3 linked regions of the Tribolium castaneum genome follow. Each later gene encodes a partner of the first gene's protein in a complex. Links are inferred from orthologs where the notes say so. Each region holds a gene or a part of one and is shown in the gene's direction. Other genes may lie near its edges.

Region 1 (3,656 bases):
TAAATTCATCCTATAAATAATTAAATAAAAAAATTCCGCTCTAGTTTCTGGCTTGCAATCGACTTCTCGACGAAGTACCACGAAATCTACTATTTTCATGATATAAGTTTAGATGGGATGTTATTAAAGAATCTTTTCAAAATTTAATAATAGTATGTTTTTCTTTAATTTTTATGTAGAAGTGTATTTTAAATTCCTTTTTTCCAAAAATTCTAACTACATTTTACATTTTCAAGCATCCCAACTGGAACCACCAAGAGTGGTAATAACCCCACCGTTTGTGGATGTCCAAGAAGGTCAGACGGTTCAAATCCAGTGCGCAGCCACTGGTACACCTGAACCAATCTTACGCTTGATAAGACTCGACGGTCAACAACTAAATCCAGCAGTAAGTTTATAAATAAACCGCACTGACACAATCTAACAACCTAACAAAATAGCACTACTTCCAAAACGGCCTCTTCCGTATACCTCAAGCACACAAATCTGACGAAGGACCTTATCAGTGCATCGCTACAAATGCAGCCGGTACTCACACATCGAACGTAGACATATACGTGCGAGAAAACACCGGTGGTCGACCAGTAACTGTGGAAATATCACCCCCGTATTACGAAGGCTCAAGTGGAGAAACTTTCTCGCTGAGATGCCAAGCCGATAGAGCAATTGATATCAAATGGACGAGACAAAACGGTCGCCCCTTACCTTACAGCTTTATAGTGAATCGAGACGTTTTAACAGCCACTTCTCCAAGAGCTGAAGATTCGGGAGTTTATGTTTGCACGGCCACTTCGGCCACCGGATACACCGCCACCGGCACCGCCGACGTTACGATCTACGAATCGTCTGGGTACGATAAATAATAATATTTTTTTCAAAAATAAATTGTGTCGTTCAGCACGTCTCCACCAAGCGCCAAAGTCAGCCCCGAACGTATCACAATCTCGCAAGGTTCCTCCACGGAGCTCCGCTGCGACGCCACCGGCTCCCCAACTCCAACCATCAAATGGACAAGAGTTGGTTCCGAGCTTCCGCCACATATCACGCAATCCGGTTCGGTTCTCTACATTCGAAACGCCCAAGTTTCAGATAGAGGGGTTTACGTTTGTGTTTCCTCTAACAACCTCGGTCTCGCGCAAGCTTCCTCTATCGTTGAAGTGAACCGTCTCGAAATCCCGATCCTGTCAGTCCACCCACAAGCCTCGCAAACGGTCACAGCCGGCAATAGTGCAATTCTGGCGTGTCGTGTCGATGCGGGCATTCCCGCTCCCACCGTAGTCTGGACGAGGGCAGACGGTCGGCCTTTAAGCCCCAACATCGAAACAATGTCTCACGGTACTTTACGATTCACACAAATAACTGAAAACGAAGGCGGTGAGTATATCTGTACTGCTGAGAACGAAGCTGGGAGAGCGTCAGTGACCGCAAACATCGAAGTTCAAGTTGCTCCAGAGGTTTGGACGGTGCCGGACGAAGATGTGATTATGAGGAGACGAGATGAGTTTGTAAGACTTGAGTGTCATGCTAGGGGAAGTCCCCCACCGTCATTGCAGTGGAGGAGGTTATCAGAACCATAGTAAGGATCATGTTTGGTTTGTGCTACTTTGGCTAATTGTGATGTGATGTTGCAGCGGAGCTTCCGGACGTTCCGGGCTTCCAGCGGTGGCTGCGCCAAGAAATGTAGCGATACTTGAAATTGCGAGGTTTTCCGCAAGGGACCAAGACTTGTACATATGCGAAGCACGGAACCAAGCAGGAGTTGCAGAAAAGCGAGTGCAACTCGCGATTCATAGCGTTCCTAGTCGCGGTGATATTGTGGGTGAGTTTTCACAATTTAAGAAATCAAACAAGTATTGTAACTTCACGAATAACAGTGGACCAAGAAAAAGTAGTTTAGAATAATCCATTCACTTTACGTCCCATACGATAAAAAGTAGAATTCACAAGAAATATTGTGTAGCACATCATTTCTTTTCTTTGTTTCTTAGTCATTAACTACCGAAAAGTAATTTTTTACATGTTTTCTCCAAACTTTTCTGGACCTCGTTTAAAAATCGAATAGGAAATAAACAAAATAATTTCCAGAGTTTTGGGTCTTCTTTGCATATTTCGATCAACATTCCGACTTTTTATCGTACGGTTTAGAGTAACAGAGTAGAGTAATCGCGGTGTTGGTATTACTTGCGCTCAAATTTGTACTAGTTTTATTGCAATATTGTAGAATAATTATTTTCATGCTTTTGTTTTTGTTTCATCTTGCTTGCTACTAACGGGGGGCCGTAGGTAACCGATCACGTGGAGGTAAGTAAATAATAATCAATTAACACGACGGGAAATTTAAGTTATTTTTTAATCAACTCGTAATTTTAATTTTATGTTGACTAGGCGAAGATGCAACGGGTAACGAAGTTACTCCGCCTGAAGGGGGTTACAGAACCAACGAACGGCGCCCGACGTATTTACCACCTAGACAACGTCCATCCCACTCTTACGATGAAAAATTCACGGCTCCTGTGGGAACTAGGGCAGAGTTGCGATGTCAAATCAACAACAATTATGGTAAAAGTGTGGCATGTGCGCAAAAACTGTGCGCTAATAATTTTGATTTCCAGATTCTGAACCAATTTATGTAAACTGGGCTCGAACGGATAATTCTTCGTTACCGAACGATGCATTTATCAGAAGTGGGACTCTTTACATCGACAATGTCCAGCCCTCCGCCGGCGGTGAATACCGCTGCTTGGGAACAACTTCCTCAGGGCAAGTGGTCTTCTCGGTTATCGCCCATCTGGAAGTTATCTGTAAGTCGGTCATCATGCTTTCGTAATTGTTTGGCTTCTTACAAGACTTTATTTTCTCTTATCTATCGGTAGTTTGTGTAATTATTGTTTCTTTGTTACATTCAGCCGAGGAAGACATATGTGCAATTCTAGGTACTGTGTTTTCACCGGTGTTTTATCCGCTTTCATAGAGAAAGTCTTAGTGGAGCAGAAACAATGTTTAATATCTAGCACAAAAACTTTGAAACAACCAGCTATATTACAACGTGCTGGTAACGCTAAGAAATGAATTGCGCACTTGGCTGCAAAGATGTCTTAAGCAGTGACAAAATAATAATTTGATATAGTACTACAAAGCTTTATTTTTTATTTATTTGTACCGGACATTTACTGAAATATTTGGATGAAGAAAACAATTCACTAATGTCGACAAATCATGTTCCTATTTAGTTCGTAAAAATAACCACATTTGTTCGAATAGAGTTTATTTTTATTAGATTCACTTACAATTTAAAGTAAGCATTCATATTAAATGATGAATGAGTCCAAAAATTCAAAGTGATTGGTTTCTTACTTAATTTTAATGGCCGACCTTAAATGGACCAATCATATCCAAAAATATAATTTTTCAATGAATCAAAGAAAATCTAAAGTGATTGGTTTCTAAGTTAATTTTAATGGCCGACATTAAATGGACCAATCATGTCCAAAAATATAATTTTCAATGAAACAAAAATTCAAAACGTGATTGGTTTTCGCTGTAATTTTAATGGCCGACCTCAAACGGCCCAATCAGAATGCTTACAAATTTTACAACAATCATTACGTGGCTTACGTTAATTCATAAAATGATGAGTCTGTCTTTGTTTTTGTTGC
Region 2 (4,195 bases), on another chromosome or scaffold:
GACGGTGAGGTCAACTACAAAGACTGGGTGTTCATCAACTACACGTTCAAGCGGTTCGAAGGTCTGACGCAAAGAGGGACCCCAACAAAAAAATAAACCGCACTTTTATGTGCGCCAACAAATCGGCAGTTAATCGCGCTATAACGAGCACTTATTTTTAGGAAATATCGTGAAAAATCACACCAGAGTGCTTCGATTATGATTTTCTCGTCTTTTCAATAACTGTACCTATCCCGTAGTTATTTTCTAAAAATAAGTAACTTTGTGTATTATAGGTCTGAAGCAGTTTTCACACTGTTTGCTTTGAGCTGTGAGAAGCTACGTATCTTTTGTTGTATTTACACTGATATCTCGTTAACTTGTGTTATTGTAAATATTACGAAAATGACGAATTGTTAGTACAAAATTGTTGCGAAACTACTGCCAATTATTTATGTGATGATGTGTTGCTTCGAGGGCGGGCGGTCCGAGGGATATTTTTGTACCTAATGATTTTTTCCCTATCATTTTAAATACAACAGAAGATTTTTGTGTATATGTTATTTTTTGTTTATTGTTACAAAGTGATACGTTTATTATTTACTTGTTTTTTTATTTATAGACAATGTATTTCTTGATCGCGCGTCAAGAACTATTTTGTATAACTCGTGAAGGACATGAACTAATTACACTTTTTACACCTTCATGATTCTGTCAGTGAGATCATATTTTTGCAATTTTTTATTTCAAGACGAACGAGCGTAGTCTAGTAGGCGGGTTTAGTAATTTTCGTTTAGAGTGACCTGCGACGTTTGACAGGCAGTACCGCCAACTGTGTTTCAAGGTTCATGGCCACTCTGATCATTTTATTAGTTGTTTTGTTCCAAAGAAGCACATATGAACAATTGTTTTTCACTAACCAATTAGATTTTGTGGAAGTGTATGTGTAGTTTTGCAAACATATCGAGCAGTTTTTTGGCTGTTAAACAGTCTGGTGTGTATGTGAGGCAGTTGGTAGACTTGGAAATTTTATAGAAAGTATTAATGTTAAGCTTGTAGCTCTCTATGCACCTTTTTTTTCAAATTCGTTTAACTGGTGCAAATTAGCTAGATTATTTGTCTGATTTGTTATTTATTACATTGGTCTCGCTAACAGGACTTGTACATAATATATTTACTTCCAAAAATGTGTATAACAAAGTTTATTAAACTATGTGCTTTAACCCGTGTTTGGAACTCCCGCCGGCGTGTTGCCAACCTTTGGTAACTTCCCATTCCTTTTATGGTAAATTTTTAATTAATTTGGGGGCCCAATCTAACTAATTGTTACCTAACGGAGCGGGGGACAGTTTTTAGGACGTTACGTTTGATTTAAAATCCTTTAAAACAATTAAAAAATCAACTTTTTTATCCGTTTGGGGAATTTCAAGCGGCACGGTTGGCAACACGTCCAAATATGGCCGTCTGTTGTGTAAAAAAGTGTTTAGTTTTCCTCACCTAATTACCAAAAAAATCCTTATCTTATCAAAGTAATGCGGTAAATAGCTTCCGGATAAGCGACTGAACGCACTCATTATAAATAAAAACCAATTCTCGCGTTTTAAACACCACCCAAGTGAACGCCCATTTGCTGGTACAAGTGCCCCACTTTTGGGCAAATTGCCGAAATGGAGGATATTTTCCAGTGGTGCAGGGACGGGAATGCCCTCCAGGTGCGGGTTTGGCTCGATGACACCGAGCACGACATGAACCAGGGGTGAGTTGTGTCTTTGAGGTTAGTTTAATGGCATTGCCTAATTTGGTCAGTGGTGTGGCCGTGTTGTGTAATAATTGGGTGTGTGTGGGTTTGTTTGGTTTTTACTGATTGGTGATTGTCTTAGGGATGACCATGGGTTCAGTCCGCTGCACTGGGCGGCGAAAAGGGGGCACACGAAGATTGTGGAGATGCTCTTGCTCAGGGGGGCGAGGGTCAATGCCACCAATCGGGGGGACGATACGCCCTTGCATCTGGCGGCTGCACATGGGCACAGGGAGATTGTGCTTATGGTTGGTATTTTATTAATTTATTAATATAAGAGTAATAATAAGTCTGAAGACTTACAAGGTTGTCACTTTATCGTTTGACTTTTTACTAAAAAGAGTTGGAAAAAATTATCATCGTCACGGTTAGGAAAATTAAAAATTATTCCTCAACCATTTTTAGGAATTTTTTTTTATGTGCTTTTATAGAATGTGGGTTTTAACCTACTTTTTTTCAAGCGAATACACTATAAAAGTACAACAAATTGAGACGTAATCCGAGTACACGTTTCTCATTAGAAAGCAGTATTTTTTTATGTATCTAACAACTCAGAATGAGAAGGAAACCAAGGAAAAAGTGAAAAAATTATTGGCAAAAAATAAGAACAATCATTTGCTGAAGTTGAGCTTGCAAAAAATAAACAAAATACTTTAATTTTTTTGTTGTTTCTTCTAAATTAAACTATTATTAGCTCGCAATTTATTTAATAGTTATCTTATGTTAACAATAAACTGGTTAAAAAAATTTGTATTTTTTTTACTGAAAGTACTTAAACCTTCAAATAACATGCAAAATAAAATAACAGAAACCTTCTATTCCTATTAAATAAACAAGTCATCAATTTTTTGATTTATGTGTGATTATTTTTTAATCAATTGTACCTACCAAAAAAATAAAGAAATAAAAAGATAAATTAGTAAGTTGTGTAAAGTTATTTTGCAATTACTGATTTTTAGTTTTAAGTAGCGTTGTTTGTTTTATAGTAATGTTTAATGTGTTATTGAAGGTCCTAATAATTTTTCTCAATGATACTAAATTAGAATTTACAGTTGTCGCTCAATAAAAAATGCCTTTTACTACCTCTCCATATAAATACAATCTTTGATACTGAATTCATAAAACAATAATAAAAATAATAAATAAATTAAAATATGTAATTACTGATAAGTACATCGTTTTACAACTCATTAATTATTTAATAATAATAATAATAATATTATTATTTAATAATAAATGGTATCGATTTTATAGATGTTAACTTGTTTTCTTGAAAAACTTGTAGCAGAAAAATCATTTAAATTCGGATTGTAGAAATTTTGGGATTTTTAGAAAATTATAAAAAACAAAAACACTACGTGGAAGTGACAATAAATGTTTTTTACGAAAGTGTTTTTGGCTCTAAAATAAATCATTTTATTATTATCCGAAAACTTTTGATTAAAAATTATGAAGCTTCGTCTCTCTTAATTTTAAATGAGTTATTCTAGATATGTACTTACTTATGATCATAATCAACAAAAGTGATGAAAAAATTTTTCGATTATAATAAATTAAATGTTGAAATCAGCTGTTCCAGTTCTATTTTTTTATTTTTAATAAAATAATTTAATTACATTTTTCTGAACTTCTCATAATTCGTCATTTTAAAAATGTTTATTATGTTGATCGATTTTGTCAACTTTTTGAATAAAACGCCAATTGTCCATTTAATAAATCTAGTCTGATAATGGACAAATGTTGGGAGCTATTTATTTTTATTTGTTTTTTTTTATTTTAATTTTAATTATCTGAAAATTCTCGTGTAGATTGAAATACTCAGCACTTTTCCTAAAATACTGTTAACAAGATATAAACAAGGTCGGAAAAAATAGTCGACTACCGACTCAGGCACAATAATATCTTAAAAAAAAATTGGAAAATTAATTTTATGTAATACTTGAAACCTAGCATTTTTTGTTTAAAAGCCAATGTGTAGTGGTAATCCTCTTAAAAAAACAGCAATTTACGATGAAATCAACATTAGTTTTTTTACAAAGAATGTTTTAAAGAAACAATTTGCATCTATTGTTTAAATTGTTTATTTCATTCTATGCACCATAATATACAGAAAATAGTGTACTTTAATCAGGAATTCCACTCCAAATCATAAACATTTAGCTATTTGTATATCTATTACTAGTCAAGTCAAGCTATATTTCAAAACTACTATTTTTTTTGTTTTCCCATGACTTTGTTTAACTTGGAATCAAATTTATTTTCGTCATGGACATACTTTAAAAAAAATATGTTTATAAACATACTTGAAATTTTCTTAAATTGTATTTGACAATTTTTTTTACTAGTTCGGTCTATTTCTTTCGTACTGCGAGTGACGTTTTTTGTTTTTATCTTTTGGAGCGCATTTTTTTCACTAAA
Region 3 (3,656 bases), on another chromosome or scaffold:
AACGGTGTCAATTTCTTTTTTTTAATGGGGTCTTGTATAATTTTTTGCATCATTTAATAGAAGATTTACTTTTAATTTGTAACACGTGTCACAATATAATAAATTAATAATAAATACTAGTAGAAAAAAATAAAAAAATATTTAGATTATTTTAGGTAAAAAAGAGCTACATGATAAAAAAAACAATTATTAAAAACTTTTATTTACAAATTTAAGCAATGAAATAGTTTTCATAGGTAGTTAAGTTTTTTTTTGAAATTAACTACTATTTAGATTACGCAATTCTTAATGAATAATTGTTATTGTAACGTTACTTTGAAATATGGGGTGTGATACATATTGCAATTAGAAGTTAATTATAATTACACATCAAATGGTACACAAAAAATACAGGGTACCATCTAAAAAAAAGTTCACAGTCATTTTTGACATATGTCATCCTAAACCGAAATTGATTTTGAATGAAATTCAAAAACAATTTCCCAAACCATAATTTGTCCTAGTTTTAGACGTATGTCAAAAAAAGGTTTAAACAGAGTTTTTTCAAATGGAATGACTGTTTTTTTCATTGGGGATCTAAAGACCATCAATTTTTTCTAGTTTTTGAAATAATCGCGAAAAATGGATTTCAGTTCATTATTTTCATTTCAATCGAGTAAATTTTCGAAAAATTTGTGCTACTAATTAATGGAAATGTTCAATTTGTCCACCATTTTCATTAATAATAATAATAATATTTTCCGGCTTATTTGATAATGAAGCAGATAAAAACTAAACAAGATGTTAAAGTTTGACAATTGTTGACCATTACGCAAGGCGTACTTGATTAATGATGAAAATTACGAAGTACAGCTAGTTTGTTTCTTGTGATTTTTTCAAAAACTGTGAACGACGTATTGATAAAAGCTTCCATAAATGTCGATGTTCTTTCTATGGCTATTTGAAATTTTTCATCTTAAAAAAATCATACTAGCATTGAAATTTGACATTTGACAATTTTAAAAATTCCAGAAACGTTCAAAAGCTGTAATGTTTTGTATAAACTCCTGCAAAAATTTTTTTTACAATAAATTGATATATCGTATCAAAAACTACGGCCACTTTGGGTTGTATAAAAAATTTCACAGCTGTAGTAGTTGTTTCAAAACTTTAAAAACGCCAACGTCGCATTTTCTCTCAAAATTAGTTGTTATAAATTATTCATGCACTTCAAAAAAAATAACAGCTAATTTAATTTGTACTTTCAATGAGAGATCTTAATCATTAATAACTATTTTACAATTTCATAAATCTCAGTTAAAAAAATTATTTGGTAAAATGCGATATTGGCGTTTTTATACTTTTGAAACAGCTAATAGCTACATTAGAAGTTAAAAAGTTTCTATTATCTGTTAACTATAGGAACAACTATCATTTTTCACAATTGGTTTTCTCTTTTAATTTGTGATCTATTTGATCCGAAAAAATTTAAGTGCGCTGTTGTCATTTTTGTTAAAATAATTTTTTAATGTAATTTTTGCCAAGGAACAATTTCTGAAATATTTTAGGAGGAAAAAAATAAAAACCGTTTCAGTTTACGAAGGTGCAATAAAACAGATTCGCTTTCAAATGGTGTATGTGTATATTTTTGTTGAGATAATTTTATCTCTGTGTTTATTTACTTCTTTTTTTTTTGGTTTCAGACAGGATCGTGGGGTCGTCAGGTGTACAATTCGGAGACTAACGGTTATTCCCCCAATTTGACGACAAGTATCAGTTCGGAGCAATTGAATGGCAGTTACGACAGTTTTCTTGCCCAAACTCCACCTCCGCCGAGTCCTGAGGCTCGGAAACATATGATTAGGCCGAAATCGCTTGTAGAAAAAGCGAGAATGAATGTGGCGTGAGTTTATTCTCGTTACGTTGCTATAGAAGCCAAACTGTCTTTTTTAGTTGGTTAGATTCGTCTTTGTCAATTATGGAACAAGGAGTCAGAGAATACGATACGTTATGTTTGAGGTTTAAATTTTACGTGTTTTATGACCTAAACCCCAAATACGATGCGATTCGAATCAATCAGATTTATGAACAAGCGAGGTGGCAATTGTTAAATGAAGAGATTGATTGTACGGAAGAAGAAATGTTAATGTTTGCCGCCTTACAGGTGAGAAACATTGCACAGCAGTTGAATTTTTTATTTAACAAGCACAACAATAGAAATCAATACTTTAGATAAAAATTTCGTCCTTGTGGTTTTCTTTGGCGAAGCAATCTTTTGCCGGTATCTGAAAACCTTATAAACATATTCTGTCTTTTAATTTATTTTGTCCGTTGTTTCACCCCATAAAAAACATATTACGTGAGTGTTTTAATCAATTACTAAATTTTGTGTAGGTAAATGATTATATCTCACGACATTATTATTGTAATTTAGTGCGTTATGTGGTAATATTTTTTTTAGTTGCAAGTTAATTTACAAGCTAAACAACCCCAACCTCATTTGGATAATGGCAATGTGTCTTCCCCTGTTGAAGACGACATCGACGCGGCCTTAACCGACCTTCAAACAACTCTCGAGGGATCAACAATAAATTCCTACGCCAACGACATCACACAAGTGCCTGAATTATGCGACGAATTACGGTTTTTAAAGTGAGTATAAAAAACAGCTCAATTGGAAGAGATGAGTCCATGTTCAGAAACATTTAATTTAAACTTTAATCCTTTCTTATCGACTAAACTTCAAGTTTTTATGATTTTGAAAATGCCAATTTATGTGAAGATATTGTTCAGCCTATTTTTTTACGAATTTTTTGAAAGTAATTATGTTCTGGGGCAAGTAAAGTGCTAAAACGTTTGAAAAAGGAAAAATACTTTCGTTTCGTAATTAATTTAGATTTAACAGAAACAGGTTCAGGAGTTGGAAAAAGTCATTTTTAGTTAACTTAGATATTCCGTCATTCGGCTTACTTACGCGAAAACGAAGTTTTTAGCAAGATAGAAGTGTTTAAGCTCTCGAAAAAAATTGATAATTTTTTGGCTTATTTTTGACCATATGCCTCAAAATAATTACGTTTCTAGCCAAGTAGTTTACTAAAATATTTAAAAAATGAAAAATAATGTCTTCTGTTAACTAATTAAGAAATTTATCATTCCGTTTTAACAGAATCTCACAAAACAATAATTTTTTACAATGGCCTACATTGGTGATTAATGCTTATTTAGTTTGGAATATTTTAGACAAAATGCATTGCGTTTCTTAGCCAAATAATATGTCTAAAGTGTTCAAACATGGAGTAATAATTAATAATTTTTATTTTGTTTATGGATTTTTCAATATGGTTTATGAAAAACTTGCGAAAAAAACCTTAAGTTATTACGCTAAACACATTGGTAATTTTTCGGCGTATTTATTTTGTCAAAATTCCATAAACTATTGCATTTCTGGTAATAAAATTTCGCGAAGAAAACAAAACTTTGGTCCTAAAAACATGTTTAAATGCTTGAAAAAGTCTAATATAAAACCAATGTTCACCGAAATTGAGATTTTTCCCATTCTAAAACTAAGTTTATCTCAACAAATGCTAAAATGACACCGTTTTAGAACCAAATTGGTGAATTTTTGATTTATTTTTGACGAATTTCCCCGAAACAACTGGCGTTTCAGGCCAAATAAT

Evidence for each region.
Region 2: basement membrane-specific heparan sulfate proteoglycan core protein (region 1) and Ilk share a complex: the UniProt entries of both Caenorhabditis elegans proteins name them as parts of the integrin containing attachment complex. The link is inferred for Tribolium castaneum from reciprocal best matches to the Caenorhabditis elegans genes unc-52 and pat-4.
Region 3: basement membrane-specific heparan sulfate proteoglycan core protein (region 1) and unc-112-related protein share a complex: the UniProt entries of both Caenorhabditis elegans proteins name them as parts of the integrin containing attachment complex. The link is inferred for Tribolium castaneum from reciprocal best matches to the Caenorhabditis elegans genes unc-52 and unc-112.

Annotation. Positions count from the first base shown.
Region 1 is NC_087398.1:9,110,991-9,114,646, reverse strand, and holds part of basement membrane-specific heparan sulfate proteoglycan core protein, read left to right. Parts: intron 1-236; coding exon 237-388; intron 389-440; coding exon 441-850; intron 851-898; coding exon 899-1,576; intron 1,577-1,631; coding exon 1,632-1,819; intron 1,820-2,283; coding exon 2,284-2,301; intron 2,302-2,385; coding exon 2,386-2,559; intron 2,560-2,612; coding exon 2,613-2,801; intron 2,802-3,656. UniProt on the Caenorhabditis elegans protein: Component of an integrin containing attachment complex, which is required for muscle development and maintenance. Probable structural role in myofilament assembly and/or attachment of the myofilament lattice to the cell membrane.
Region 2 is NC_087394.1:5,466,040-5,470,234, forward strand, and holds the start of Ilk (integrin-linked protein kinase), read left to right. Parts: upstream 1-1,393; 5' UTR 1,394-1,646; coding exon 1,647-1,735; coding exon of another isoform or gene 1,736-1,739; exon of another isoform or gene 1,740-1,753; intron 1,754-1,859; coding exon 1,860-2,025; intron 2,026-4,195. Other genes in the region: trc (serine/threonine-protein kinase tricornered), read left to right, coding at 1-96. UniProt on the Caenorhabditis elegans protein: Probable pseudokinase that acts as an adapter protein. Component of an integrin containing attachment complex, which is required for muscle development and maintenance.
Region 3 is NC_087396.1:10,393,661-10,397,316, forward strand, and holds part of unc-112-related protein, read left to right. Parts: intron 1-1,682; coding exon 1,683-1,882; intron 1,883-1,932; coding exon 1,933-2,143; intron 2,144-2,440; coding exon 2,441-2,631; intron 2,632-3,656. UniProt on the Caenorhabditis elegans protein: Component of an integrin containing attachment complex, which is required for muscle development and maintenance. Probable regulator of cell-extracellular matrix adhesion. Required during initial muscle assembly to form dense bodies and M-lines.